Linked DNA regions of Diceros bicornis minor. The protein of the gene in region 2 purifies or fractionates together with the protein of the main gene of each other region. This does not show direct contact. Links are inferred from orthologs where the notes say so. Each region holds a gene or a part of one and is shown on either strand. Other genes may lie near its edges. The genes, in order: C1QBP, DDX21, RRP1B and CDK9.

The links.
Region 1: the proteins of DDX21 (region 2) and C1QBP purify together in Homo sapiens (co-immunoprecipitation; 3 studies listed by BioGRID and IntAct, with this or other methods). This does not show direct contact. The link is inferred for Diceros bicornis minor from reciprocal best matches to the Homo sapiens genes DDX21 and C1QBP.
Region 3: the proteins of DDX21 (region 2) and RRP1B purify together in Homo sapiens (affinity purification with mass spectrometry; 3 studies listed by BioGRID and IntAct, with this or other methods). This does not show direct contact. The link is inferred for Diceros bicornis minor from reciprocal best matches to the Homo sapiens genes DDX21 and RRP1B.
Region 4: the proteins of DDX21 (region 2) and CDK9 purify together in Homo sapiens (affinity purification with mass spectrometry; 3 studies listed by BioGRID and IntAct, with this or other methods). This does not show direct contact. The link is inferred for Diceros bicornis minor from reciprocal best matches to the Homo sapiens genes DDX21 and CDK9.

The regions. Positions count from the first base shown.
Region 1 is NC_080757.1:12,097,413-12,105,426, reverse strand, and holds the start of C1QBP (complement component 1 Q subcomponent-binding protein, mitochondrial), read left to right. Parts: upstream 1-5,009; 5' UTR 5,010-5,048; coding exon 5,049-5,274; intron 5,275-6,568; coding exon 6,569-6,719; intron 6,720-8,014. Other genes in the region: ATP-dependent RNA helicase DHX33, read left to right, coding at 712-1,020.
Region 2 is NC_080745.1:37,067,656-37,075,580, reverse strand, and holds the start of DDX21 (nucleolar RNA helicase 2), read left to right. Parts: upstream 1-4,913; 5' UTR 4,914-4,962; coding exon 4,963-5,052; intron 5,053-6,993; coding exon 6,994-7,443; intron 7,444-7,925.
Region 3 is NC_080766.1:43,112,637-43,120,353, reverse strand, and holds the start of RRP1B (ribosomal RNA processing protein 1 homolog B), read right to left. Parts: upstream 3,014-7,717; 5' UTR 2,982-3,013; coding exon 2,852-2,981; intron 1-2,851. Other genes in the region: HSF2BP (heat shock factor 2-binding protein), read left to right, coding at 4,530-4,565, 5,348-5,498. UniProt on the Homo sapiens protein: Positively regulates DNA damage-induced apoptosis by acting as a transcriptional coactivator of proapoptotic target genes of the transcriptional activator E2F1.
Region 4 is NC_080767.1:35,786,529-35,793,623, forward strand, and holds the start of CDK9 (cyclin-dependent kinase 9), read left to right. Parts: upstream 1-4,092; 5' UTR 4,093-4,263; coding exon 4,264-4,703; intron 4,704-5,171; coding exon 5,172-5,253; intron 5,254-6,042; coding exon 6,043-6,133; intron 6,134-6,492; coding exon 6,493-6,659; intron 6,660-6,783; coding exon 6,784-6,955; intron 6,956-7,095. UniProt on the Homo sapiens protein: Protein kinase involved in the regulation of transcription.

The DNA.
Region 1 (8,014 bases), on a different chromosome or scaffold from region 2:
CACCACTGTGGCCAGCAGGTAAGGTGATGTGACCCACTCAGCAAGTGCTGTGGAGCAAGGAGAGGGACTGATGACTGACCTCTCACCTCAGAGCGGAGGGGCTTTCTGTCTCCCAGGAGCAACTGGTGAAGGCACAGTCGTGGAACGGGCTAGGGAGGAGAAGGCAGTCGATTTCGGAGGACCACAGGATGCTCAGGATGGCTCATTCACGGCTTCACTATTGGAAGTTTGCATTGTTTTGCTGGGGCAGGAGAGACATTGAAGGTTTCTGAGCAGATGAAGAACGACTGAGCTGTGCTGTAGGACAAGCGGCAGAGTGTGAGCTGAACTGGAGTGAGGAGAGGATGAGTAGTCAGAGGGAGAGGGAAAGCCCTTTGCTTCCTGAGACATCCTGGTGGATGTTTCGGTGAGGGAGTGGGATGCTGGCTCACCCAACCTGTCTGTAGTGTGGCAGCTTAGATGGCTGTCTCCCTCCCGGTCCTTCCTCTCCCAGGCTGCACTTTCCCTATTTACAGTCCGCCCGCCTTCAGCTCTGCCTCTGTCCCACCCATGCTGCTCCCCGAGGCATCTCAGGTAACCACCTCCTGTGTCAACCTCCACTTCATTAGGCCTGCACTATGGGCTGTGTTTTAGGTGTGGTTGCTCCAAATACCATGTGCTGCTGAGCAGTAATGTTTGGGCTCTTCCATTTCTCGCTTCCCCCTGAAACAGATGTCGATGCCAATCACATCATCCCGCGGAGACACGGAGAGCGTCCGCCGCTGCCTGGCTCACAGCCTCTTCATGAGCACCGCCGAGCTTCAGCCGGACGGGTCCTATGCCACCACGGACACCCACCAGCCGGTGGCCATCCACCCCTCGTCTGTCCTCTTCCACTGCAAGCCAGCCTGCGTTGTGTACACCGAGCTGCTCTACACCAACAAGTGCTACATGCGGGACCTCTGCGTCGTGGACGCCGAGTGGCTGTATGAGGCTGCCCCCGAGTACTTCAGGAGGAAGCTGAGAACCGCCAGAAACTGAGCCGGATCTGCTGGTGCCTGGAGCTGAGACCATAGCTGTCCACATAGCTGACTTCCAGGTTGGCGCCTAGAGAGGTGGCAGGTTTTGATGTAGCGGAATGTGCCTGATTTCCAGGAGCTCGAGAGCGTCTTTGTTTAAACCCTGAAGACTGAACTGTGTAAATGTGTACATACCATTTTTACCTTGGAAACTTCAAAATTATGCTTTCGGTTATTGCTGGGTGACTTTAGGTGACTTAGTTAACTTCTGAGCCTCGGTTTCCTCATCTGCCAAATGAGGGTAATAATAATACTTACAGGGGTGGACTTATGAGGTTTACAGAAAATGAATGCAAAGTACCCAGAGCTGTGCCCGGCCTGCGATAAACATACGATGAATTGTGAGCCCTTATGCCCGATGTTATCGCTTTCTCCATGGTGTTAGTTGAGTACAACAAAACCGCCTGAGTTCCTGTGACTGAGAGGGATTTTCTGGAAGGGGACCATAGGAAATCGCAGAGTTGGATGTTGTCCTTGGATCTATTTTAATATCTATCTGTATGAAGTTTTTAAACAGAAAGCATAAGAGATTGACTTCTGTAGAAGTTTCAGGAGGGAGATGCTGTTGTGTCTCACCTAATGGGCTGGCTGCCCCTGTGAACACTCCCCAGGGTGTGGCCCTCTCAGAGACCAGTAAAGGAGTGCTCACAGGACGCTGGGCTGTGTCTCTTCATCCTCGGTGCCTCTCTGGTTCATATCCCCATCTGTGCTTTCAGGAGATGTGGAAGTTTCCTGGGTGTGGGGTGATCTGTATCTTCTGAATCGTGTCAAGTGTAGACATGGGAAACTGGCCTTGTGGTGTGATGCCTCCAGCATACCCAGTTGCCATTTTTCTCTCTAACTGGGCACATAGAAACATGTGAGCACAGGGAATGACGCCGTGCTACATTTCAGCTGTCTCTCTTCTGGCAGGGCCCCTGGGCAGAGGGCCATTGGGAGTGGGGTGGAGGACAGCGGCCAGTGGTCACTGCGAACCCAGACAGCAGTGGCTCGCCCCACCTGCCACGTCTGGCGTATATATTCTTTATTTTCTGGTGTGTATCTTATTTATTTTCTGTGATCTTTTTGTCCTTCTTCTTAGGGACAACCTAGCCTTGCTGCTTCCTAGCCATCCACCCCTCTCCAGGCTCAGTTTCCACATTTGTCAGAGGGAATTAGAGGGTCTCCACAGTCTCCTCCTTTTCTCATATTCTGAGAAGGGAAATGACACCAAAAGTTCTTCTTAGCTATTTGATTATCAGAAGCAAATAATATTTCCCCAGAGAATGTTTTGCCCTAGAAGCAGCCAAGGTTTAGCCCTTTACTTGTGCTACATTGGTCTAAACACACGTGCAATATTTTCGTCATCACTTACAGAGTGAATGTTGCAGTTGACAAGCAGGGGACCAGACTGCCCCAGAGGCTCTTCAGATTGAAGACAGTGGGTTGTCTCTTCCCTCTGGGTCCAGCGAGCTCTTCTCCGAGCCCGCAGCCTGCTGGCCTGCCCCGTCCTAGGTCCGCTCTGTCCAGGCCTGTGTACGTCCGGCTGGCCCAGGCTTTCCAACGGGAGCCGTGGCCTTGAGCAGGCAAGCTTTTAGCCAGTGTTCAAGGCTGTCTGGGTACTTGTGATTTATTTCTGTTAGAAATAGTTACACTTAGGCCGAACAGGATTCGACAGATCCTATATACCCTCTCTTACTGAATTCTTAGACTTTTAGCTGGCTCTTCCTCAGATCGACTTATTCTTACTGTTGCTGACTTTCTGAAAAGTTTTTCAGAAATTTTTTAAAGTGTATTTTTCTCATTTATTTAATAGAGACCTAGGATCTTTAGCCTGACTTAGTAAAAGGAACTATTGTATTTTTAATAAAGCATTCATCATGCTGGTACAAAATTGGGAGTGGGGTGCTTTATTATGTTCCTCAGCAAATTCTCTATCAAGAGGTGTTCTCTGGTGCAAGTAGAATGTAACTTCGGATAATTTATGTCCATCCTGAACAGTCTCTGGAAATGTATATTCTTTCCTGCCTGAGTAAGGGGTAAATAGCTTCTAAGTAAATGTAAATAGCTTCTAAGTAGTTTTAATGTTTCTGTACAGAAATAAGTTTAACACTGTAACATTCTGGTAGAGTTTTAATACAGTAGTTTTTTATTGGGCTTTTTAAAAAGTTAATTTTTAACATACCTGCTCAGGGATTAATTCAGATTGGAAAATCCATTCTGACTCCACTTGTTACTACAAAGAAATAAAGTTATTTCTGTTGAGCTGCAGGGAACAGAACACTTTAAACTTTCTTAAGGAAGTTAAGTGTTTCACAGTGATGTTGCGATACAATCTTGAGCTACTCTTTTTCAATTGGTAAAATCTCTGATGGTGTGACACCTCTTTTTCAACCTGTGAAATCCACCGCTGGGCAAATCACCAGCTCCCATGCGCAGCTTCGTGTCAGGAGATGCGCTCCAAGCAGATCACACACCTCAGGTGTTTGCTCTCTGCTTCTGGTAGTCATGGAGCCTGAAACATCCAGAGCAGCACAGATTTCATTACAAGGGGCAGGACTGCCAGCACTGGTCCTTGGTCAAGACCCCGATGTAATGTCGCATCTCTGCTGGTTGTAAGGAGATGCCAGAATGGAGACACGTTTTTGCTCTGTGGGTAACAATGATAATGTACTGTGATGCATAAATCCATTTAATCCAGCTGTCAGGAAGTACTTGGGACTGTGGCCAGGCATCTTAAGATACCATTACTTGAGCATATAAGGAAACACTGCACCTGTGGGGAAGTGATGGTTTTATTGTATTTTATTTGATTAGAATATTATAACTTGCAGAAGAAATCAAGTTGGTTCAGCTTTATGTTGTATTTTTAGAGTCTGGTCTTGTTCAAAACAGACATAGCTCTACAGAAACATCAGTTCTTGTATATAATGCTCAAATTTGCACATGAGTACCAAGTCCATTAAAAATGAATCTTGTACATGATGTGTGGCTTCTTTTTGAGTCTCCTTTCCCTTCTTCACAGAATGCTGTGTAGAATATATTAAGAATTAGTCTTATCTTGGCCACTAATTTGGGATGACTTACTTTCTTGGTAACATATATCCTAGGTGTCCTGGTAAGGTGGGAACATCAGTTCTTTTTTTAATTTTTTTTGGTGAGGAAGATTGTCCCTGAGCTAACATCTGTGTCAATCTTCTGTTTTGTATATGGGACCCCGCCACAGCATGGCTTGATAAGTGGTGTGTAGGTCTGCTCAAGCATCCAAACGCCTGAACCCACGAACCCCAGCCATGAAGGGGAGGTCACGAACTTAACCACTATGCCACCAGGCAGGACCGGAACATCAGTTCTTAACCTAAATCTGATGGAAGCCATGGCTTCTTGCCTCCAGAAAAATGACGTCCCATCAGAACTTGGGTGCAAGGTTGGAGGGTGCAGAGGGGCAGTGGCAGGAATTAACCAGGGATCCTGCCCTTCAGGAGCTCCCTTGTGGTGGAGGGGAGGGGAGGCTGCCAGTTAACCTCGCGGTGCCAGGAGGTTTCTGCTGAGAGGAGAGTGAAGCACAGGGGCGAGGTCCCACAGGCGTGAGTCCTTATTTGTTTCATAGAAGAGAGGAGGAGGTTCCTGGAAGGCCTCTTAAGGGGGATGACCTTGGAGGCTGGTCTTGGGAGCTGGGAGCGGCAAGAGCGCATTGAAGTCATAGAAAGCCTGGCGTGCTTTGAGAACAGTAGATGGAAATTTGGAGAGCAGCCACTGGAGAGAACTGATGCTGGCAAACTAAACAGCCTTGGACACCAAGCTCGGGCCTGCTCAGCTAAAGTTCAGTTACCGGAGTCAAGGACCCCCCGGCAGAGGGCGCAGTCCCGCCCACGGCGCCCTCGGTCTGCAAAGCGACGGCGCGGAAGTGCTTCCCGGGTGAGGGCGGGACTTCCGGCGGCGCGCTCGGTCAGGGGGTGCCTTGGCCCCGGGCGTCCTCCGCATCCGCACGTGTCTGCCTCCGCCTGCGCGATGCTGCCTCTGCTGCGCTGCGTGCCCCGCTCCCTGGGCTCCGCCATCGCCGGCCTCCGCGCCGCCGCGCTCTCCCCGGCGCTCCGGCAGCTGCTGCAGCCCGCGCCCCGGCCGTGCGCCCGGCCCTTCGGGCTGCTCAGCGTGCGCGCGGGGTCGGAGCGGCGGCCGGGCCTCCTGCGGCCTCACGGGCCCTGCGCCTGCGGCTGCGGCGCCCTGCACACGGAAGGTGAGTCTCGCGCACGTGGGCCGGGGCCGCGAGGGGCAGAGTCTTGGATGGGGTGGGGGCCCGTGGCGCGGGCGGGGAAGGGTAGACCGCGGGTAGACCAGCCGGAGCCGTCGCCCGAGGTCCGGAACGTGTTCCCATTTATTGACAATCAGAGGGTTAAACCCACGTGTGATCACATTTCCCCGATCCTCCAAGTGTTTAATTTTGAGGGGAGAGATACGGTTAAATCTGAAGGCTGACTTTATCCTTAGTCTCTCGAAAGTGGAACTTTGGGAAGGCTCAGGGTGTGGTTAAAAGTAGCGTAGTTATGTCTGTTGGCAAGTGAAAGAGGATGACGGGATTTTCACATGTTGGGGTATATGGGGTAGCCATTCTGGTTCAAAGTGGATTCAGCTTGAACTAAAGAAGCCTGATTTATGGTCTATCAAAGATACGTTGTACATCTGATTTGACCATTAAAGAATGCACTCTCTTAAGAGAAGAATGCATTGGGCCAGCCCCCTGGCTTAGTGGTTAAGTGCTCGTGCTCCGCTACTGGCGGCCCCGGTTCGGATCCTGGGTGCGCACCGATGCACCGCTTCTCCGGCCATGCTGAGGCCGCGTCCCACATACAGCAACTAGAAGGATGTGCACCTATGACATACAACTATCTACTGGGGCTTTGGGGGAGAAAAATAAATAAATAAAATTATAAAAAAAAAAGAGAAGAATGCATACTTCCCCTCCTACGCCCTATCAGTAACGCCTGTATTAGTCCCTTTCCCGCCATCAGGGTCGTGTTGACCTGCTAATCTGCAACTGAATACCTCTTTGAAATTTTGATGAATATGTATCCTGGATGTGTTTAATGTATGTTCTTTGGTCTAAAACGGTTTAAGATTGTATTGAAAACCATGCTTTTCTGGAATGCTTTCTTCCTTTGTGGAAACTGCCTTCCCAGATTATAATCCTCACCCTGGCTCAAGTAAAACTCACCCTACCTCTCTTATCTGTAGAATGGTTATCAGTTATTTTGCATGGTCAGGGTAATTGAGAATTCTCTTGCTTTTGGTGAAACGTGGTAATGGTTCATTGTTCGCAGTCACTTTTGCAGAATTCCCACTGGTGCCGTTAGGGCATTTTTACAGATGAGGACACAGGCTTAATGAATGTGAATTGGACTAAGTTCCCAGGCACCATTAATAGCAGAAGTGTTAGAAACAGTCCAAGTCCAGATTTCTGGGTGCAGTAACAGGTTATTTTTATGTTTCAGACTGGCTCTTCTTTTTCTGTGTCTTATGGCTTTTCATTGTAGGGGACAAAGCTTTTGTCGAATTCCTGAGTGATGAAATTAAGGAGGAAAAGAAGATACAGAAGCATAAGTCCCTCCCCAAGATGTCCGGAGGTTGGGAGCTGGAAGTAAATGGGACAGAAGCCAAATTAGTACGGAAAGTTGCTGGAGAAAAGTAAGTATTGGGGGCCTGCGGACTCCAGGGGACCAAATCCATGACCCCGCAGGACCTGCCCTGAGGCATCCCGGAACAGCCTTACAGTGCTAATGGAATCAGTTTGATCTCAGGTTTACAGTGCTGACTCATTACACTGCAGGCTCTGACTGAGCAAAACAAGGCCCTGCTCTCAGATGTTTTCAGTAGGTGAAAATGCAAGATATGTAACTCACGTGTAACAGGATGGGGTCACAGTATAAGAGCTGCCATTAGCAAGGAGGGGAGCTTTTGACCTAATTCAGCTGTTTAAGTCTATGATCTGTTTTGAGTGAACTTTTTTTTTTTTTTTTGCTTTTTCCCCCAAAGCCCCAGTAGATAGTTGTATGTCATAGCTGCACATCCTTCTAGTTTCTGTATGTGGGACACAGCTTCAGCATGGCCGGAGAAGCGGTGCGTTGGTGCGCGCCCAGGATCCGAACCCAGGCCGCCAGCAGCGGAGCGCGAGCACTTAACCGCTAAGCCATGGGGCCGGCCCTGAGTGAACTTTTGTATATGTTGTGAAGTCGGGTTTTGATTCTTTTTTGCCTAGTGGTACAGTGTGTTTTTCCCCATATATGGGTCAATTTTGTCTGCTGTAACTTCACCTAAACCATTTTCCAAGGGTAAGTCATAGCCAGTTTGGGGCCATTATAAATAATGTTCTAATGAACATAACTGCATTTCTGTGCCCAGGAGCTCAGTTCGGTCAGCACTGTTGCAGATTAGACAGATTTTGTGCTTAAACCTCAAACTACCATTATTCGATGGGAAGTGGCTTCCTGGCAAGGCAGCCACTTAGCGCAGTTACAGTGTGCTGTGTACGCAGAGTGCCTGCTGGAGTGCCACAGCCTAGCAGTGCTAGTGCCACATCTCACCTCGCTGCAGTTTCGACTCAAATTTTGGAACATGAGTTGTCAGATGATTCTTGCACCTTAAAGTTGCCATTAGTGGGGCCAGCCCCGTGGCTTAGCGGTTAAGTGCGTGCGCTCCGCCACTGGCGGCCCGGGTTCGGATCCCGGGCGCGCACCGACGCACCGCTTCTCCAGCCATGCTGGGGCCGCATCCCACATACAGCAACTAGAAGGATGTGCAACTATGACATACAACTATCTACTGGGGCTTTGGGGGAAAAAAAAGGAGGATTGGCAATAGATGTTAGCTCAGACCTGGTCTTCCTCACACACAAAAAAAGAAAAGTTGCCATTAGTTGGTGTTTCTGGCCTGCTTTGTGATGATAAAACTTCCCTCAGCTACTGAAGAATGAATCTGTCCTG
Region 2 (7,925 bases):
AGATTATCCAGGGAAAGTATAGGAAAAGAGGACAGAGGAACCCAGAGGCACACCAATGTAGTTACTGCATAGCAGAGGAAAGGGGATGCCATTGAGAAGGGATGATGATAAGAGGGCAAAAAGCCCGGAAGTGTGAGGCTTTCAAAGGAACTGGAAGACGATCCTGAAATGGCCACTGATTTTGGCAAAAAGGAGACGTTTGACATGGGGAGCAACAATATTAATAGAGTGTAAGAGTAGATGCCATTTAGCAGTGGGTTCAGCAGGAAATGGGAGTTAAAGAAGTAGGGACAACAAACATGAACAGTCTTCTAGAAATTGGGCTGTGAATAAGGAAGAATAAGTTAAAGCTGGCTGTAGAAGAAAGGACAGGAGGTTGCAGTGAGAATTTTGTGTGTGGTGGGAGGAGATGAGGGAAATTTGAGCATGTTGAAATACTAATATGGGAAGGAGCCAGAAAGGAGGGAGGGGGAAAAAATATATGATGGAGCAAAATCCCTATGAAAACCCAGAGGGATGAGATCAAGCACACACTGGAGATTTTAGCCTTAGGTGGCAGAAGCACATCTCTAACGTGTGATTATCATGTAGGTGAGTTTGCAGGTGTCAAGGTATAAAAAGCTGAGAGAGTGCCTGTCTGATGTCTTCTATTTTTTCCTGTAGTATTCTTGCATGGTCATCTACTGAGGGTGAAGAAGGAAGTAGTAGGTTAGGAGACTTGAGGAAAGTGGAGAAATGCTGAGGTATCAATTATTAGAACAAGATGGAGAACTCACCAGGCAAACTGAGGGTCCCAGGCAGCTTTGGGGGTCCAGCTGAGATTAGAGACTAAATCTGTAGTGGCGGCAGTTAGAGTGATTGAGTGATTTCCTATAGCAACACTCAGCTTTCTCTTGTAGGAATGGAGATGGGAGACAGTTGATTGAGGGTTGGAGTTTTGCTCTGAGATGAAAGGATGACAAGGTGAAGATGTTAAGGACTCTGCAAAAGTGATTTGAGTAATGGTCCATGGAGTCCAGACTGCCTAGGGGTTGAAGTGGAGATGGGGTTGATAAGAGGGAGAATGTAGAAGGGGCAAGGGATTAAGGTCAGTAAGGGCTGTCTGAATTTGAGATTTCACAACTGGAGCAGTTGGGGAGGAGAAAGGTGCAGAGTACGGTAGTAGGTTGTTGGGGGCAAAGGTTATTTCAGTTGAGGTGGTCCAAAAACTGAGACGCCAGGTGTTATATGGGTGATTTTCATGGACAATGAAGTCTCCTAGAATGAAGACAAACCAAGACTAAGGAGGGAGAGGAAGACTAAGCCAGGTGCCAAAATATCAATGAATGGGGGAGGTTGGTAAATTACCTGAATTAGGAGGGGTATGCGGTGATACTACCACCTACCTTCAAAGGGACAAGGGTATTCACATGAAAGTCAAGGAGTAATAGTTTGGAAATGGCCTTGAAAGAAAGAGGACACTGCTACCAGGGTACATAGAGTGTGAGGGAATGAGCAACATATGTGTGAGATAGCTACAGGGGAAATATTTTTCAGGAGAAGCCAGATTTCAGTTAAGCCAAGGAAGGAGAAAGGACTCTCAGTGCTGGATTGAGAAAGGGGGAAATTTTGATTATGGGGAACGGCGTTCCAGATAACTATGACTCGGGGGAAAGAATCTCAGTTGGCTGTGCATTTGAGTAATTGTGAGCTCTGGATTTATAACCAAGGTGAAGTAGGGGCTCCATTCCTACTAAAGTGCATGAGTTAGAATATGCTGTCTTCAGTTAGAATATGCTGTCTACCTACAATGTCCCAGGGACTATGTTTGGGGTACAAAGGTGAATGGAGTACCCAGTCTCTGCACTCAGGAACTCAGAATCTAGTGCAATAGATAGACACATAAACTTAGGTCCATAGCAATGACTAAATGCAATGATTTGAGAGCTCTGCACAAGGGCACCCAGCCCAGCCCAGGAATGGGGGTGGGGATTCAGAGAAAGCTTTTTGGACATGATGACTGAACACGAATTAAGTCAGGTAAAAGAAATGGGGATGTGGGAATGGGCATCCAGGCAAAGGTACAGAATAGCTAATAAAACTGTTAACAAAGTCTAAGTATGGTAAGCTAAGTAGCTCTTGTTGCTGGGATCTTCACTATGAGGAAAGCAGTGGTGAAAACATAGCAAGAGTCATATCTTGGAAGGTTTCTTAGGCCTTGTGTTGGACAGCCATTGAAGGGTTTCAGGGAAGAGAGTGAACGAGATAAGCACGTAGCTAAATTCCAGCAGGGTGGAGATGGACTTAAGGGGTGCACTAGCTAAAGGCTGGCTTCTCTATTAGCAAGGAAAGTGGAGCAAATCCTAACAAGATTAAATAATAACTTTCCATATCTTCTGGAAGGAGGAACCGGGGCAAATTCCTAACCAAATTCTCAGCTTTGGGCTGCAATCAGCCACTTATCTTTACTCCTTCCTCATAAAGCCTAGCACCTTCATGACTCCACTTTTGGCTCTTCAGAGCCTCCTGTTTGGTACTCTGTGCCTAGTGTGGTCACTTAACAGCTATTTGAACTTGAATCAGTTACCCTGATCTTCAGTTTTTGAATTTGTAAATAATATCTTTTATTCCCTTCAGCATTAGAAATTTGAATAATGAATTCACATTTTGGTGTGAATGTCCAAGAGCCTCTTCTCACATTGTTTTTGTTTTGTATATTTTGGGGGTAGTGCTTAATAAGTTTTTTAAAACCATATTCCTTTTTTTAAATATTAGTAATATATGTCCATTGTTGAAAATTTTAAAAAACGCAGAAGCAAATGGAAGAAAATAAAAACCACCCATAATCACATCACTCAGAGATAATTACTGCCAACATTTTTGTTGTGTAGACTTTCAAATTCACTGCATGTATGTGTGTGTGTATACATACTTTTTGAAATAGAAATTCTCCCAATTATATGAAAACATATTACATCATCTACATCAGAGGAAACTGGTCTGGCAGAATCAATATTCAAGCAAAACTTCACATTTCCTATCAAATGTATATAAGACCCATTTCTTATACTTGTTACTGAGTTTTATACTGATGACTAGATTTAATACAGTAATTTGGCCACCTTTGAGCCAAAAAGGGCCTGTTGCATGTTTCTTCTTGGAATTTTGGCCTCGTGCCTATGTGTAGGAATGTTAAAAAGGAACTTACATACTTTATAAGCCTTGACAACAATTTTCCATTTACTCTCTTGTTGAACATCTGTTGGTAATAAAAATGTCCCTGTACTGTTTATAGCAGTTATCACCTACAGCAGTATCACGTAGTTTTGTGGTTTATTAACCAGACTTCAGGTTCCTAATGCCAGGATGATTTAATTGCTTTCCTGCCTGGGCATATAGCTAAAATTTATTTCAAGGGGTTCCTTCCCTCCCCTGACTCCCCACATTGCCATTTTAATGATCGATCAACATTTAGTGACAGGTTATTATGTGCCAGGCACTGTCTGAAGTCTTAAGGATACAAGGATAGATAAATTAAGGCTCCTGGCTCAAGGATGTCACAGAGTTAAAGCATTGTATATTTATGTATATTTACATAAATTTATCTGTTAAATTGAGACTGTGAAACATCAATAGTTCGTGTGAAACATGAAATTTTTCCTTTAAGTGGTCAGACCTGAGTTTTTTTTGTTTTCTTTTGCTGAGGAAGACTGGCCCTGAGCTAATGTCCGTGCCCCTCTTCCTCCACTTAATGTGGGACGCTGCCACAGCATGGCCTGACAAGCAGTGCGTCGGTGCATGCCCAGGATCCGAACCCTGGCTGCCAACAGTGGAGCGCGGGCACTTAACCGCTATGCCACAGGGCTGGCCCGACCTGTGAGTTTTAATAGCTCTCATTTATTGTGCTCTATGTGCCAGGCACTGCTAAACCCTTTTCATCCATTATCTTAATTTTCTCAACCGAAGAAGTAGGCTTTGTTATCCCCATTTCATGCATGAGAAACTCAGGTTCAGATTAAGTAACGTACAAAAATCACAAAGCAAATAGTGCAGGTTTTCAAAGCCCGGCCTGATTTCAACCCATTTTTAAAAAAAAGATTTTATGATGAATTGGCTCCCAATTCTTTGGATCACTAGTTCTTCACAGGAAGTTTAGCCACGTTGTCATAGATCATTCAATGGACCACTCCTTCAACTGCTTGAATTAGTATATTGTCCAAATTATGCAAGACTAAGAGCGGTATTTTCTAATAGAGGTCCGTGTGGTTTGGCGCCCCCTTCTCCTGGTCTCAAGGAAGGTTTAAGTGCCTCTCTCTGCCTTTGGAACAACTGATACTCCTCCATCTCCCACCAATCTATAAAGCTTCTTGGAGACTAAGGCTTGTGTATTGTCTGTTACTGAATCCTACCCGTTTCTCATACCTGACACGGTGAATGCTCGGGGGATGTTTGTTGAGTGCACGCACGAATGAATGACCAAGCCCGACTGAATTCTAGTTCCTATCCAGGCCTGTGAGTCTGGGCGTCTCTTTCAGTGTCGACGTTTCCACAAGACGATCAAGAATACACACCTCGCGTATGTGCGCGTGAAAGGATCTTGCAAACTCGAGGAATCTAAAGCACTGAAGAGGCGCCATTCAAAAGCAACTACAGGTCTTCATTTATCAGGCCAGGGCTAGCGAGAATCCGGCCAGTGTTTGAACGACAATACAAGGCCAACCTCTGCGGTTCCTTCCAGTTCTGCCTTTCTGTAAGTGCCTTCTAGTCCCGGCGCCGTAAGCAGTCCATTCACCAAGCGCAGCCAGCAAGAGATGCCGGTGCTTTGCACCTACCACGTGGGCCCCGGCCTCCCTGGGGCTTCCTGCTTCCGCAGGAAATGCTTTGTTACGGGAAGTGACGAAACTGGGTGGGCTGAAGGGGTAGGACAGTCTCTTCCTCTCCACGCGGTGGACGAGAACAGTCGGCTTATCCATCTTGTGCTGAATGATGCCGGGGAAACTCCTTAGTGACGCGGATTTGGAATCAGACACGGCCATGGAACAAGTGGAGATACCGCGAAAGCAAAATGAGAAGGTACGCTGAGAGGAGCGCGGCCGCGGGGTCCGGGAGAGGAGGGGTGCCGGGGCTGGAGCGCGTGGCGCGGACCCGGCTCGTCCGGAGCCCGGCGTGGGTCTCGGCCAAGGGCGCCCGGGAGTGGTTCTCTCGCGGACGGTGGGCGCGCCGCCCGCCCCACCGAGCCCGCGCCGCCGCGCGCCGGCATCTCGCACGGGGAGGCCGGGGCGGGTCGGAACTGGAGAGAGGCCGGGTGTCCCACGTGGTCCCGGAGTCGGGGCGCCCGGCACCCGGTGCGCAGAGTTGGCCGCTCACGGTTAGGCCCTCCGTTGTTGGCTCAGGCTCAGACCCAACTCTGGGCGTGAGCGTGCGCGGAGGGGATTGTAAGTCATGTCAAGGTAGGGACTGATGCTTTGGACTAGACTAGCGAGACCTTCAACCCCTCGGCACACGTGGGCGGCGCCTGCGGTGACATCCCTTTTACCCTGGAGAGGGAAGTACAGTTTGTGTTCCGGTAAGCAGACCTTAGAAGACGAAGTAATTCAGTTCCTCTTAATGTTTATTGACCAGATTTCCCGTGGAAATGTAAGGACGTGTTGTGGTGCTAAGTTTACTCCATATCTTGATATAGGCCAGTCGTGTGCAGTAGTCTTAAGTGACATTGTTGATGCTTCCTTAGATAGTGATTTAACTTGTGACTAAGTCTCTGTTCTGAGATAAGGTCAGTGGGAGCAAAGATTGTCCCTCAACTGTTGTACGTGACTTAGAGGTTTTTTTTCTTGCTGTTTGTGGGTCTTTTTGATGGGGAGCTTTTACAACAGCAATATTTTGGCGTCGTCGGAAGCCAAGGGATCGCAGATTTGTCGGCACAGGTGGGGAGGAATTGGTCCTTGTTTACCTGCGCTGTATTAGCGAACCTGTTCAATTGTGTGATGCTCAAATTAGAAGGGACATGACCAAACTCCATTACATTCCAAAAGAGACCACCGGGATGGGAAATCCACTCTTATTTGATGGAACCAAGGGATGAAAGAACTGAAGCCTTGCAGGGAAGACCGGATTATTTTTCAGATGCCTGAAGGACCATCGTGTGGGAGAGATTACTCTTCATACTTGATTTGAGAGCAGAGGCCAGACCTGAAGTTTCAGGGAGGCAGATTTCAGCTCAGTGTAATAGTCTCCATACTTCTGGGATTGGCCTGGAGCTCTACCAGAGAGGTTTTAACAGAGGCTCCAACACCTGTCTAGTTGTTTTCAGTAATATGAAAAGTTGGAGTGGGTCAGACATTTCAGATACGAGCCATAGTCTGGTATGGTTTTGATGTTTCACCCCTTCCGTTTCCTTGTAATTTGTGCTTTTTTCCCCCTTCTTTAAATTAGGTACATCTTTTTTACACATGGAGTGATAGGTTGTGGGGTTTTATAGCTTTTTGTTCATAAAGTGTCTCTGTAAATGCGTTTGTGCTTGTGAGATAGACAAGACATATTATGAATCACTGTTGTACAGGAATTCTGCAGAAAAAGAAATCTGCTTAACATCATCCATCGGTGGATGTATATGGCCTGTTACTCTATCAGAATTAAATTAAGCTGTACAGGATGACTTTCAATAGTAGTATTTACCGTAGAGCCTGTTAGAGCATCCCATGAACCACCCCAAATCCCTTGTGAAATTTTGACTTTACAACCTGTTCAACCAACATGAATCGTTACCAAGAGGCATTCTCTTCCAAGCTAATGAAATTACTGATATATACTTATCTCTGTATAACTAAGAAATGGTACTAAAAAACATACTGTTTGATTTTTGCCTTATTGCAAGGTGAAAGTACAAATGTTGAAAAATGCCCCAAAATTGTGTTCTTCATAATTATGCAACCTTGAAAGAATCCAGAATTGATGTACTCTACAAATGTATAGATGCTTTGTTCAATGTTTGTATTTTCTTTATTAATTTTTTAGAAAGGTAGAAAAGAGAAGCCAAAATCGAATAAGACTGAAGAGGCAGCAGGAGAAAAGGAGGAAACTATTTCCCCCAAAGCTAAAAAAGCTAAAAAGAAAGCAGGGCCTTCTGAGGTTGACATAAATTCTCCTAAATCCAAAAAGCCAAAAAAGAAAGAGGAGCCATCTGAAGACAGCATTATTTCTCCTAAAACCAAAAGTGTGAAAAAACCCAAGGGGCCTTTTGAAGAGAAAGTTGTTTCTCCTAAAACCAAAAAAGTAATAAAAAGTAAGGAGCCTTCTGAAGAAGAAATAGGCGCTCCTAAGCCGAAGAAGATGAAGAAAGAAAAGGAAATGAATGGAGAAATTGGAGAGAAAAGCCCCCAACTGAAGAATGGATTCCTTCATTCTGGACCTGACTCGAACTCCAGTGAAGCTGCCAGTGAAGAAAGTAGCAGTGAGTTAGAGCAGGTAAAGTTGCATTTTAATAGGTGGAGTGTATCTTTCATTGTTTTTTAAGAAAAATAAATAGGTAATCACTACATGTATTAATTATGTAGTAATGGGAGGAAATTTGATGTGTCAGCCCTTCATAGGGGTCCGTTGAGCTGCAGGGTGAAACTTCATCTTAAAAATTGCATGGTGTCTGAATGCCTCCTTTGCAAATAAGCACATCTTTTTAAGTTTAGGGAAAGTCTTCTCTCCACACTTGGTCTGCTTATTTGCAAGTCAGAAATCAACAGGAGGGATATAGTTATGCGAATAGGTGCTAGCTTCCCTCTGAGGGGTTTCACCAAATAAATCACGATTAAGTGGCACCACTGAAAAGGTATTTGCTTGACTGCATAAGTCTTTTTGTTCAGGCCATTAACTAACTTGAGTTGAACAAGATGATTTAAATGTCCACTTGGAAGCTAATTCTGTTACCTTTCAAAAACTCAGTCATTAAAGAA
Region 3 (7,717 bases), on a different chromosome or scaffold from region 2:
CACCAGTGTCAAAACACACACAGCTCTTAGCTCTAACTACTGGGTCGAGAGACCTCTAATCCTATTGTAAGAAAAACACTTATTTCCCCTATTACTGGCACTGAATCTAAGACACCACCAACTGTAAGATGTACTATTTCACGTGCCCCCAAAAGAAAGCAAGAATGCAAATGAAACTGTCACAGGTTGACTTTAACGTATATCCCAATTCTAGTAGATGTTAAATGTTTAAAGTTGCAGAATTGCTCAAACAGGCAGGGATTTTTCTCTGTGTTTTCACTGCCAAAGACATGAATGCATGAATAAACAGGGACCAATGAGCCCTAATGAGTAAAACCATGCACAGTGACCGTTCTATGACCGTGGAGGCCCCACACGAGCAGTTAAAGCGCCAGAGCAACACTGAGCTGCTTTAAGCACTACGAAGATCTCCAATTTGTTTTCAAAATCACAAAGCTACCTACGATGGACGGCTACATGTATCAGTAAGTAAAATTTCAGATTGCCTTTACTATGCCTAGACAAGATGCAAAAAAATTTCAGCCTACCAATGAGATTCAAATGTCAGGCCAAGTTATTTCCAAACTCGTGTTTCTAATTTGACAGAGCACAGCTGTGGCAGAGACCTTGTTCATCTGTCCCACCATCACCGTCTATAACACTCACTTTGCAGATCCTTTTTTGAAGGCCCACTATATTCTGTGCAATGTGGATCTAGTGGTGAACAAGAGTTACAAGACAAGTAACTCTAGGTGTGATGGGCGCTAACCAGGCAGGACTCTGGGGCATTGGTGTAAGCACACTGGCCTCACGCTCCCGCGTCGCCTCAACATACATTTCATATCCTGGGCTTGCTCTGCAAAGGGGTTTGAGCAACAGGCCTGTCTGGCTGTCTCAGCTCCATATGTACTGCATCTGGTCTTTCTTCTGCTCTTGTATACAGTCAGGCCCTCGTATGCCTGGATATGCTCCCACTTTCAGCTAAGAAAACAGACGGAAGCTTACAGTGTTTTGGGGGAAGAATGACACATTAACACATAATTAAGAATCAATGTAGCTAAGTGCTACAATAGAGACATACTGTATCTTTCAGAATCCTAGAGGAGTGGGGGTGAGATGATAGGGAAGGCATTTTGGAGGAAGTGATACTGAACTGAATGCTGGGAGTGGATCAAGGGTGGGAATCTTTTTGGAGTGAAGAGAAGCAAAGGCAGAGAGGTGAGAAATGGTGTACTGTACACCAGGAACCAAGAGTGGCTTCCTGTTGATGGAGCGAGAAGCAGTCACATAGGCGCTGAGGTGGAAAGAGAAAAGGAAGACAGATCATGATCTGCAGGCCTGGGATTCCAGGAAGGTGGTGTTTTAGGAAGAAGACTCTTGGCTTGCTTGTGGAGGACAAGTTCAAGGGGGGACAAATGGAGGTAAGGAGATCAGTGGGGAAGCGGGAAAGTGCAGGAGTCTAGATGAGATAAAGAGAGCCTTTGGTCAGGACAGAGTAATTCAGGAGACAAAAGAGGTAGGACCAAGGGATGCTGGACGTGGAGCAGGGGGAGAGGATGAGGGAGAGCAGAGTCCAGGACAATACTGTGTCCAGCTAGAGTCTGAGGGGATGGTGGGAACTAGCAACCAACATAAGAGAGCACAGGTGGCAGGGCAGCAGCAGAAGAGAATAGGTTTTGGGGTGAAGAAAATGAGTCACTTTTGGGCATTCTGCATCTGAGGTGCCTGTGGGACATCCAGGTGGAGATGTCAGGTTAGTAGGGAATAGCTGAGCTGAAAGTAGCAAAGGTCTGGGCTAGAAATTTAGGTTTAGGAACTTTCAGCATATATGTGATACCTGAAACCATCAAAGTAAACTAAATCTCTCAAGGAGATTCCTAATAGAACTGAAGTCAAGAATTCTGGTCTTCATTCCTCTTTCTAGCAGACTTCGCATAAAATTGCATTTTCTTTTTCCTGGGTAGTCTTTCGTGATTTCGCTTCATAAGTAAAACAAGGAGATATCTATTTTTTCAAGTATACTCTAAATGTATTCCTGTTAGCAGTAAGTGAATCAAACTTTTTCCTAGCGCAACATAAAACCTCTATCCACAGTGCAGTTCATACCTCATGTGCTCACCCAAGGGTTTACAGAATGTATTTTGGATCAGGTAAATGAAATCCTTCAAGGCACCCCACTGAACTAAAAACGCAAACTACAAAGCTCGGTGTGACCTGGCCACTGCCTACTTTTCCGACTCCATGTCAAAGTACCATCGCCCTCCCTGACTCACTGGTCTTCCAGCCATTCCTAGGGCATGCTCCGCTCTTCCCTCCTGCCTCTGTTCAGATCTGCTGACCACCACCCCGGAGAGGCTCTCCTGGAACTGCCTATGCAGCGGAGCTCCCTCCTGCCCTGACTTCCATTTCCGCCCCTGCACTCATACGAGCTCGGTTTTAGTTATCTACGCCCCCTAGCTTTACTAGCAGAAGTTCCTCGAGGGTAGGGATTCTGTCTGCTCTCCTGGAACCCCAGCATCTAAAGGCGTCGGTCACACGAAGGCGCGAATCAATGAAGAGCACACCAGAAAAAAATCGGGCTGAGTCTAGCGATTCAAGGCGCAGGCTCCGAGCCAGGCAGACTGGGTCTATTCTCGGCTTCTCCCCTCGCTGTGACTTTCAGCAGGCTACCTGACCCCTGCGGCCGCAGCCCCTCGACCGTAAGACCGGACTAGACCCAGCAGGCAGCGGTGCCCACGGTGCGGACACACCGGGGCGAATGGCAGGCGTGCGAGCCGGTGCCCGACCCTCTCCCTGCTCCCCCGGCCCCGGCCCGGCCGCCATGTGGCGCGGCTAACCGCCGGGCGCCCACCTGTCTCCCTCTGCGTCTTCACGCTGAGGTACTGGCGCAGCTTCTTCACCGCCCGGTCCCTGATGCCCTTCTCGTGGGACGCCAGCCGCTGAGCGAACTGGATCTCGGCCGGCTGCATGGCGGGGGCCATCGCGTGCGCTGGAGCATCCCCGGCCGCAGCCCGCCGCGCCTCCACCTCCCGCTGCCGCCGCCGAACCCCAGCCGCCGTGCCGTCCGGGCCGCGACTGCGCAGAAAGCGGCGCGGGCGGCGGCGCGCGCGCTGATGGCGTCATGGAGGCCCCGGCTCGCAGCGCGACCTGGGAGCCGGCGGAGCGGCCCGGCGTGGGTTCGCGTGGTGCCGTCGCCCTTCCGCGGGCTTTAGGTCGTCAAAGCTCGGGGCCGTTGACGGCGAGCTAAGCCAGCGTTGAGTCTTGGCCAGGAAGAGACGGATGGCCAATTTTAAGTGGTCTAGAATCTTTAAGCTCTCTCCACAAAAACCCCATCCGATAGGCAGCTGTCCTACGAAATACACGGGTTTTTAGTTGCATTGGAGTCCTTGGCCCGCCTCGGTCGGGTGGAGACTGGGAAGAAGGGCCGTCCTTGGGATTTTTGGCGTGATATTGAGGGCAGCTCCATCGATGGGCCGCCCTGGGCCTCTACTGCCGGCAGAGGCAGCACCCTCCAGCATCTGGGTCCCGGGGCAGGTGCAGGGAAGGTCCCGGTACGGGGGCAGAGGCAGGTACGGGGGCAGGTCCCGGTGCAGGGTCAGGATATGGCAGGTGCAGGGCAGGGCCGGTGCGGGGGCAGGATATGGCAGGTGCAGGGCAGGTCCGGTGCTGGGGCAGGTCCTGGTGCAGCGTCAGGTGATGGCAGGTGCAGGGCAGGTCCCGGTGCATGGTCAGGATATGGCAGGTGCAGGGCAGGTCCTGATGCGGGGGCAGGTCTTAGGGCAGGGGCAAGGACAAGGACGAGTTCCTGGACAGGGGCAGGGCGGGGATCTGCAGCGTGTGCTTGCGAGTCTGCCCTCAGGCCTGGAGAGCACGCACTCCGGGAGCTCGGGCAGTGTCGGCTTCCTGCGGGTTTCCGAGACGGATGGTCTTAGTTGTGCGGTAACTGGGTACGCCTGAACCCACAGGCTGCATGCACCATGTTTCGCGAACTCAGCGGGCGTATTGGGGCAAGAGAATGGACCCGGTGACGTCTCCAAGTTCAGGTGGTCATCTCAGTTACTTAGCCAGCCGACTGGACTAAAGCTCCCTGGGGGGGCGGACTCCCCAAGGAGCTGTCGTCGGAAAGCTTCGACCTTTGCTAATGGGGCTCAGAGACAAGCGGGTGAGAGTGGTCACCAGCCGCGTGGGTGGTGGTTCCCTTGACCGCATCGCCCCTTAGTCTAGCATCCCTAGACACACAAGAAAGGCCAATTCGATTTATCTCATTTGACACTTAATCCTGGGTCTCACTGTCCTGCTTTGCAGTTAACAAGTTTAAAGCCCCGGCTGAGCCAGAAGAGCGATGCGGGATCTCGCCGAGCCCACCCCCAGTCCCCGAGACTGAGAGCGCTGCGCAAACTCTATGAAGTTTGAGCCTCGTGGCTCTCTGTACTCGACCCCTCGGCGTGGACGCATTCCCGCGCTTTCTTGCGTGTGAGGTCAGAGGGCGCGTTGCCGCGCAGGCGCAGGGAGCCGAGGCCGTGGCGGCCATGGGCGAGGCCGGGGAGACTGTGGAGGCCTGCCGGGTCAGTCAGGGGGCCCGGCGCCGCAGCTGCTGCGGTTGTCTACCCCGCGCCTCAGTGGACGCTCGGGAAGGGCCTGGGCCTCGTGGGTGGACAGCGTGGCCTGGACGGGGGTGGGGGCGGCGCGGCGGGCCGGTGGGCACCGAGCGGGAGGCGACGGCGCCGGAGCCAGCGCGCCCCGTAGGGCCCCTCGCTGTGCTGGGGCTCGGGTGTGCTCCGGGAGAATGCGGCTTCACGGGTGACCAGTGTCCCCTGAGTGCTCGTAGTGGCGTCACTGCAGTGACTTAGGAGGAGCTCGGACCCCAGAGGCAGATCCGTGTTCCCATCCTGCTTCGGCCCCCTGCTAATGGCGTTTCTTTGAGAAGGCCACCCATCCTCCCCAGGCCTTGGTTTCCAACCTGGACAACCTCGGAGGGCTGAGGTGAACACCACGAAATGAGATGACCAGCAAAGGGCTGGGCGCCCAGTGGGAACCCAGGAAACGTCCTTCCCTCCTGATTAGCCTGGCGCTGGAACGTTCAGGAAGATGCTGGCATTCTCTTTGGTTTTCAGGATTAGAGCTTCTCTCATGTGCCTGTGAGAAAAGGGAACTGGTTCCCATCTTGAAGGCTGGGGCTCGGCTCTCAAGATATGACGTGTATAGCAGAGGGCACTTTAGGTGAAGACGTGCTTTTGAAACAATTATGAACTCAAGAGGCCCTGAAGAAAAGGAAGCAAGCTGGCCTGGGCTGCGGGTTCTAGTGATCTGAAGGAAATGTAATCTTAAAATCTGCTTGCTTTTTTAGCACGTGGGAACTAAGGAAGAATTCGTTAAAGTCAGAAAGAAGGATCTGGAACGGCTGACCACTGAGGTGATGCAAATCCAGGACTTCTTACCCAGGATACTGAATGGGGAGGTACTGGAAAGCTTCCAGAAATTAAAGATTATGGAAAAAAGTGAGTTTTATTTCATTTTTAGCAGTCATTGATGGTGACAGACATCTGTTTCAGCAGATTTACCTTATGTAAATTGCTATAAAGTAATTGTAAGTAAATTCTAAGTACTGTTATAATCCTTGTAATTATTTTTGGGAGAGTCAGATAAGGCATAAGAAAGGGAGGGACCCTCAAATGGATAACTTTTTTGGACAGGTGTAAGTTTGTGTTGGAGGAAGAGTTGCCAGCTTTTAGGAATATCTGTTACCAGTTTCTCTTTCTCTCCACCTTTTTTCCTTGGCAGAAGAATTTTATTCAGTCATGCACTGAATAACGGCCTTTTGGTCAATGACGAACCACATGGACGACAGTGGTCCCATAAGATTAGTACCATGGAGCCTAGGTGTGTGGTAGGCTATACCGTCTAGGTTTGTGTAAGTGCACTCTCTAACGGTCACACAATGACGAAATCGCCTGAAGGTGTTTTTCTCAGAACGTACTCCTGTCGTTAAGCAACATGTAACGGTACTTTTATAATTGAAAAGCTCTACTCCAAAAACGTATAAGTTAAGGATCTGGGCATGGGGAAACTTGCGTGGAGTTGAATGTGTCTGTAGAGGTAGTTAGATGTGTTTCCTTGTCTCTAGGTTGATGGACGGGTCAGCTTCTAGCACTGATTCAAGTTCAGGCTTGCTGGTTCTTGTCCATTAAGATTTTGAGATTTGAGCTGAGCCGTTATGTCAGATGTCAGTCTGGGAGCCTGTTGAAGTTCTGGGAGATGTTCAGGGATTGATGGAGCACTTGCCAGTTAAATCAGCCTTTGGTGGTTAAGGCTGATTCACCACACTGCATTTAACTATTCGCCATTAACTACCGCGGGACCTCTAGAACAGGTGCATCTGGGGGGCTCAGGTCGGGTCTCTAGCACTAGTCCAGACAAAAAGGTGTCTGGAATCAGCAGTAAGATTTCTGCTTTGTGTAGATGTGTCTGGTCAAGGGGGCAGCCATACACAGTTAGAAGGGAGAGTGCTTGTGGTTATCATAGCTCCCTGCCCTGTTCATTCTCTCTTTGGAATCCTCAGATGCTCTGTCCTCTGGTGTGCTCTGGGAGGTGGATTCCTGCAGACCGTGCCTCTGGCTTCCTTGCTGGCTGCCAGTACTCACCAATGGAAGGCCTCAGTGGGCGGAGAGAGAGGTTGGGATGTTTCCTCCTGCTCCCTCCACAGCGGTGTCTCCCACCAAGGGGCCTCCTCCACAGTCCCAGCTCTCACTGGGCTCTAGTAATGCTGTGTTCTCCCTTTGTAACTTCAGCTGGAGGGCTGTTGCCAGTGCCTGGGTGCCTCACCATACCTTGTTGGGTCTCTTGTCCCTGCTCTCCCCTCTGTAAGTAGTCCTTCCCATGAAGTCTCAACATCTGGAGACTCGATGTTCGATATGCTCCATGTCATATTTGGAGACTGGAACCTTGCTGGGTATGCTCCATGTCACTGGTTACCATAGTTCCAGGTCATTGTCTTAACCTCCCTAGTTTGGATCCCGTGCTCATCCAGCAACCTTCTGAGAGCAATTGGTCATCCGCATTCGTTTATCTTCAGGGAGGGAAAGTGCTGACCAGTAGCAGAGTCAGCCTGCAAGGTGCTTATATTTCTCACTGCAAATTAATAAACTGGCATTCTGAAAAATTCATCAGGGTCTCATAAGTTGGTTAGCACAAGTCAGTCTTTGGAGCTCAATCGTCTGCCAAAATCAACTTATGAAGCTTCCAAAAGAGGGCCACAAATGAATCTATGGTGACTTGATCAACGTTAGACCGTAGGAGATCTTGCCTCGCCGTCCCTGGCCTTCCTCAGGCCGTGGAGTCCCCTCTTTTCCCACTGGTCTCTGGCCACTTCTCAGTCAGCTTTGCTGATTCTTCCTTCTCTGCAGCAGCCTTTCAGCCAGCGGTGTTGATTGAGGCTCATGCCCAGGCCTCCTCTCCTCACTCCACGGCCTCTCTGTGGGCAGTCTGTGCACACACATAGCTTCAGTTACCATCTTGATGCCAGCGGCTCCTAGATTTATCTCTAGCCCAGACCTCTCCTCCAGGCTTGGGGCCCTGTATCTAACTCGTAGTTGGCATTTCTTCTCGCTGTTTCACAGTCTTTTCAAAATCTAAATGTTTGTCCTAGCCTAATCAACCTACAGCCATCAGGAAGGACGAGGTCAAGTTTACTGGCTCGTTGCAATGAGGAGATCACACA
Region 4 (7,095 bases), on a different chromosome or scaffold from region 2:
CCTGGGAGGATGAAAGGAGCAAATGTTGGCCCAGGCCAGTGCACTGTGGCCTCAGCAAACCCTGGACTAGGGAACGGCGGCTGTTGCTGAGGGATGGGGGTGGTTCAGGCCAGGAGCAGACTGGCACTGGCCAGGAACACCCCGGAGCAGGCGCATGGCGTGAGAGCCGGGAGTCCTAGCCCCGGCCCCGGCGCGGCTGTGTTGCCGTGGTGGAGGTGCCTTGTCAGTGCTAGGCTGGCCCTGCCGTTGGCCCGGGCGCCAGGGCAGTTGCCGCGTCCCTGGGAGGATGAATGGGGCTCAGTGTGGCGGCTCCGCTGAGCTGAGAGCCCCCTTTGTGCTGCCTTGAGTGGCCGTTGGGAGTGCGGCTGGGGACCTGCTGGCGGGTGGCTGTCCCGCGGGCCCTCCTCAGCCTGCGCTGGAGGCCAGCCCAGCCCAGTCCACGCTCTGCAGCCCTGAACACACAAGTGCCTTCCTGCCCCCAGGTCTTTGCTTGCGCTGGACCCACACCTGGATGCTACTCTTCCCTCCACTGGCTCCATCTTTTGCTTCCATGGAGTCTCTGCAGGTCTAGAATGAGCCATAGTGTCCCCAGGAACCCTGCTCTGATTTCTGTCCCCTCCGTCCTTGCCCCTCTCCCTCAGTCTATGCCTCAGTTGCCTGGTTTGGCCAGGAACCATTAGGATTGGAGACCTTCAAGTTCATAGTCAAAGGCATTGGCCCAGGCAGACCTGAGTCCAGACCCCACCTGCATGACCTTGGGGAAGTGACATCACTTCTCTGAGCCTCGTTTTTCCCATCAGTAAAATGGAACAAATACAACATCTTCACATGATCCTGTAGCGATGAAATAAAACATTTGTACTGAGAGTGTCATCCACGTTACAGACACTTTGTTTTCATGGCATGTTCCAAGCAGACCTCATGCTCCCTGAGAGAGAAACTAGCCTTATGCATCCACACTGGCCCCGTGCCTACTATGCTCTTGGTCTCAGTCGATGCCTTTCCCCAGCTCGACCCAGTTGTCTGTCCTGGGGGCGGTGTAGGATGATGGTAAATGACCCTGGGCTTTGAGAGCAAAGAGACCTGGCTTTGAATCCCAGCTGCAGAGCTTCCTGGCTGTGTGGCCTTGGGCAGGCCTCTTTACCACTCTGAGCCTTAGTTTCCTCTTCTGTAACTTGGGCCCAATAATAGCAACCTCCTAACAGGAGTGCTGGAAAGTTCCAGGAGGATGACACATATCAACACTGCCAGGCACAGAGTCAGTACCTGGCTGATGTGGGCAGAACATCATGGTGTTACAGGGCTCAGGGCATCACACAGCCATGCTCAGTCCTGAATCTCTATCCAGTGACCCCTTGTCCCCCAGATGTATGAGCAGCCAAGAGTAGCCCACCCATGAGCCTGTCTTCTCCTTCCCTCCATATGCCCCATCCTGTCTCTGCTCAGGGGAGGAAAATCGAGAGTTCAGGCCAGGGTCAAACAGCTGGCTAGTGGCTCCCGTTCGTACTCCGTGCCTCAGTTTCCCTACGTGTTAAATGGCAGCAGGACCAGGCGCTCTCTCAGAGCCTGGCCAGCCAGTCAGCAAACATTTACTGAGTACTGGCCAGGTGCCTGGCCTTGCCAGCTTAGCCAATCCATGGGGCAGGAACTATTTCCCCCGAACCAGCCAATCAGATGTCAAAGTCAGAGAGAAATTGTCTCTGGCCAGGACCTAACTTCTCACTTCCACGTGGGCGATCTGGGCCCCAGGCCTGGGCAGCCTGGGCAGCTTTCCGGAGGGCTCCGGACCACTCCTGCCTGCCTCCCTCCATCGGGCAGGGCTGAGGGCCTGAGGCTCCAAGGGGAAGTGACTGGCGGATGTTGGGGTTCAGACCAGGGATGGCAGGGTGGAGGTGATGACACCACCGGAACCCTCTGCTGAGGCGTCTGCCCACAGGATGTGACTTAGGGAGGCTCGTGGGAAACAGGCAGGGGCCCCAGCCTGAAAGTTTCAGGGTAGAAGCCACCAAAAACCATAGCAGACCCCCCAGTGCTACCATCCCCTCCCACACCTCCCATGGGCAGCCAGGACACCAAGCCCAGCGGTGCTCCGCCCTAGCTGTGCCCCAGCTCCACCTCCAGCCTCCACGGGCGGGGTCCTGACATGAGTAAGTGCTTGGGGTTTGTGCCAGACTGACCTGGTTCAAACACCAATACGGTCACTGGCCAGCTGTTTGACCCTGGTCAGGTGATGTCACCTCTGAGTTTCAGCGTCTATACGTGTACAATGGACGTGGTAATAGTACCCACCTCGTATGGCTAAGAATTGAGATAATTCCCATGAAATGCTAAGTGTACAGCTTAGACCATTTATTTTCCCTCAATAAATTGTAATGACTACAATTATTGTTATTTTCTCCCTCCTTGCCCTCTCCACCCCCAACTTAGCCAATGGCCTCTCTGCTTCTAATAGTGTACCCATGAAGCTGACCCCAGAGCACTCCCTGACACCACACTCAACTGCCTAAAACCCTCGCTGGCTCCACAGTCCTCAGGAGAGGGCTCCCTGCTCCTCACCTGACCCTCAAGGCCCTCCCTAGCAGGACCCTCCCCCAGAACGGGGTCTCTGGGGACACGAGGATCACCAGATCCTTCAAGGCAAAGCCATGTAGGGTAAGAGCTGGGAGGAAACCCCAAGGGCTTCCCGCAGTTGGAGAGGGTACTGGGGTGCAATCAGAGAGCACAGCCCTGAAGGCGGGAAGGCCAGGGAGTTAGGAAACAGGAGGGAGATTCTGGTGGCCACAGCTTGGGAGGGAGCTGGAAAGAGCTTCAATTATCACAATTTGGTTTTTCCTCAAGACAGTGGAGGGAAATACATGTAGACTCCACTTCAGAATGATCTAGTGTGCTGTGAGGGGGACAGATGGAGAGGCCAGACTGGGGAGGCCAGGACTCAGGATCCATCAGCAGAGGACTGGAAAGGAGGGTCAGATTGAAGGGTCACAGAGGAGGTAGGAAAGACAGCTTTGCTGGGGGCTGGTTGTTGAGTAGAGTTGGAGGAAGAATTGAGAGGATCCTGGAGCCAGGAAGGTATGAGAAAGATGCTGGGGGTTGGTGTAGAGGAAGGGGGCACAGGGTCAGAGAAGAGATGGGTGAATGGTGGGCTTGGTGCCTGGCATAAGGACCACAGGCCTCAAACACACCACTGCTATACTCCTGGCCAGACTGTAAATAACCTGAGTCGGGAGAATCCTTTACAGATTCAGACAGACCAGGTTCGAGTCCCAGTTTTGTCACTGTGTGACCTTGGGCAAATGACCTTGCTTCTCTGAGCCTCAATGTCCTCATCTGTAAAATGGGTTAGTGATCCTGACTATGGGGCTGTTGATTTAGGATTCAGCGGAACGCCCAGCACTTCCTGAGCACACAGGGGTGCTAAGTGAATGCTAGCTATTTTTGTGATTACTGATCCGGGCGCAACTCGGCGGGGACCGGGGTCCTGTGGGTCTCATCCCTGCCTCCCAGAGAACAGGGGGTCCAGGGCTGGAAGACCCGCGCGTTACTCCCTCGCCGCCTTCAGTGTCGCCGCGCCCCCTGGCGGCCGTCGGTTGCCATGTCAACGGCGGGTGGCTGGGGCCGGGGGAGGCGAGGCGGCGGCGGGGGCCGTTCTCCCTCTCAGGACCGGAGGCCGCTCCCTTGGCGCCTCCTGCCTTCGCTTGTCGGCTGGGGGGGGGGGGCACTCCGAACCAGAGAGGAAGGGGCCTCTTGCGGCAGCTCGCGTGCGGGGGTAAACTGAGGCACGCGGCGAGGCGCCCCGCAGCCAGGTGTCGAGCGCGGGGCCCCACCTCCGAAAGCGGAGGAGGGGCCGCGGGCGGTGACGCGCCGAGGGCAGCCGGCGGACAGTGGGCTGGCGGGCGGCGGTGGCGGCGGCGGCGGCGGCAGGTGCGGCCGCGGAGGGTGGGAGGGAGGAGAGAGGGGGCGGGCGGAGGGGGAGGGGAGGGCGAAGCCGGGGCACCTCCCCCTTTATAACGCGCCCCCTCCCGGACTCTCGGGCCGCCTCCTCGTCGGCTCTTCCCGTCTCGCCCCCTCGCCCGGCCGCCCCGGGCCCGGGCCCGGCCAGGGAGCCCCCAGGCCGCGGCTCGGGGGCCGCCCCCCCGCCCGTCGACCCGCGCAGCCCGGCGGAGGCGGCGCCGTCGGAGGAGGAGGAGGAGCAGGGCACTGCGGCTGGCCCCAGATCGGGCGCCAGAGCGGCAGCGGCTTCGGCAGCAGCAGCGGCCCGGGCCGATGCAGCGGGACGCACCGCCCCGAGCCCCAGCCCCGGCGCCCCGGCTCCCCGCGCCCCCGATAGGGGCCACCGCCAGCAGTGGCGGCGGCGGAGGCGGGGGCAGCGGCGGCGGCGGAGGCGCCTCTGCAGCTCCGGCTCCTCCTGGCCTCCCGGGAACTACAAGTCCCAGGGGGCCTGGCGGCGGGCGGCGAACGGAAGAGGCGGGGTCGGCGCCGCGAGGCCGGAAGTGGCCTTGGAGGCGGAAGTGGCGCGGCCGCGGAGGGGCCTGGAGCACGGCGGCGGGACCCGGAGCGGGCGCGGCGGCGGCGGCGGCGGCTGGGGGCGGCGGCGGCGCGCTGGAGGCGGCCATGGCAAAGCAGTACGACTCGGTGGAGTGCCCTTTTTGTGATGAGGTGTCCAAATATGAGAAGCTCGCTAAGATCGGCCAAGGCACCTTCGGGTAAGGCTGAGCCCCGAGGGACCGGGAGCCCTGGGCCTGCACCCCTCAGGGCTGACGCCGGGAGGCCCTGGGCCAGGTCCGAGGTGGTCGGGAAGCCACCGAGCCCCAGGCTTGTGCCTTGCTCTCGCTAGGCCGCGCCGCAGCCCGCCGGAGCCTGACAGAGCCGGCTGGCGGGGAGGAGCCTGAGGCCCGTGCTGGGGGGCGGGGAGGGGTTGCAGAGGGGAGCCCGTGAGGGGAGCGAGATCTTTCGGAGAGACGCCCGGGTGAGGAGAAGGGACTCAGGGAAGGAAGTAGAGGCTCGGAGAGGGGCCGCAGATACCGGGTGGTGAGGTAGCTGAGCGCCCTGGGTCCCCGGCCCAGCCCCGCCCTGGAGTCCCTTCTTTCCTGCTCTCCTCCTCTGCGGGGGGAGGGGCGGGCCCTGCGGAAGCGGCCTGATGAGCCCTCCTGGGTCCCCTTCTCGGCCTGCAGGGAGGTGTTTAAGGCTAAGGACCGCAAGACCGGCCAAAAAGTGGCTCTGAAGAAGGTGCTGATGGAGAACGAGAAAGAGGGGGTGAGTACGGGTCGGGACGGCGGGCCTGCCAGCTCTCCTGGGCACGGGGTTGGGTTTCCATCCAGCGTCTTCGAGAACTCTCACGTTGAGATTCACTGTATGTGCGGCAGTTCGGGAATTTCCATATCCCAGGGAATTTGACTTCCAAATTAAATCTTTTAATTCAAACATTTTAAAACATTTGATATTTCATTCTTAGGTAAATATGCTTGGGGCCAGGAGGGGGAGCTCATGCTTGCACTGAGTGCAGCTTGGTTCCTGAAGTTAGGTGGCCTTTAAACACTTGATAGCATGCAGTTTTGTTCAATATAAAAAAAACTACATGCAGTACCTTTAAAAGGATAACTAGTGCTCAATTGAAAAGGAGTAACCTGGTTGTGTCCCCTCTCTCCCATCTTAGCTCTAGTCCAGCTTCCCAGAGACCTGCTTCTTAGCAAGGAAATTTTTCTAATAGTTATTTTTGTTGGTTTTGTTACCAGCCAGCAAGTTAAACACAGGCATAGAGCTAAAATTTGAAGGTTAAAGAAACTATGAAGCATTTAGTGATTAGTAGTAAAGTGTTCGTGTTAAGTACTGCTATTTGAATTCATTGTCTTAAACCAGCTCCTTGAGGGTGCATACCGATCTTAGACCTATTTTACAGCTAAGGCATCTGAAAGCTGATTTCAGAGCCTGTGATTTTACTCTGTCTCCTAACCTGTGCTCCTGAGGACTGATCTCATGGCTGGTTCCTTGGTCTGTAATGTGCTCACTCACTTGTGACCCCCTCCTGTCGTTCTCCCCCTGCAGTTCCCCATTACAGCCTTGCGGGAAATCAAGATCCTCCAGCTTCTAAAACATGAGAATGTGGTCAACTTGATTGAGATCTGTCGAACCAAAGGTAAGTCTCTTGGATTTCATCGCTTTTTTCAGACGGAGAAAATGAGCCTTGCAGCCTAAGGCTGTGTTTGCAAAGTTGGAACTGGACACGCCTCACTTGCCTGTTCTTAACCCAGACATACCAACTGTGACTGCTTTCTCTGGTCCTTTCATCGTAGCTGGTGCTTCCCCAGGGCCTGCCACAGCACCTGGCCCAGAGGAGGCACTCAGGAAATACTTTACCAGTGAAGGAATGCACAGCCGGATGTCCGGGTGTCCATTGGTTGGAGGGGGTAGGAGCTGGTTGTGGGAAAATGAGTTGCATGTGGGATTCGTAACTTTCTTTTTCTTGCTCCCCTCCCCCGATTCTTCCTGCCTCAGCCTCCCCCTATAACCGCTGCAAAGGCAGTATATACCTGGTGTTTGACTTCTGTGAGCATGACCTTGCTGGGCTTCTGAGCAACGTCTTAGTCAAGTTCACGCTGTCTGAGATCAAGAGGGTTATGCAGATGTTGCTCAACGGCCTCTACTACATCCACAGGAACAAGGTGGGGACCAGAGTGGGAGAAGAAAGGCCAAGGCTTGGGCTGACCTTTGCTCTCACTGCTGGGTGGGTGTGGCTAAAGGACCCCTGGTAACCTGACTGAGCCCTCAACCTTGTGCTTCCTGCAGATCTTGCACAGGGACATGAAGGCGGCTAATGTGCTCATCACCCGTGATGGAGTTCTGAAGCTGGCAGACTTTGGGCTGGCCCGGGCCTTCAGCCTGGCCAAGAACAGCCAGCCCAACCGCTATACCAACCGTGTGGTGACGCTCTGGTACCGGCCCCCGGAGCTGTTGCTCGGTGAGGACTCCCGAGCGGGCAGAGGGGGGCAGGGACTGGGCACTTACCCGGCCTCACCCCCCCACTGCCAGGGCTTCCTGAGCCGCTGGCCCTGGGACATTGCGTCTCAGGAGGCCCTCGGGCTCAAGGGGCCCTCCTGG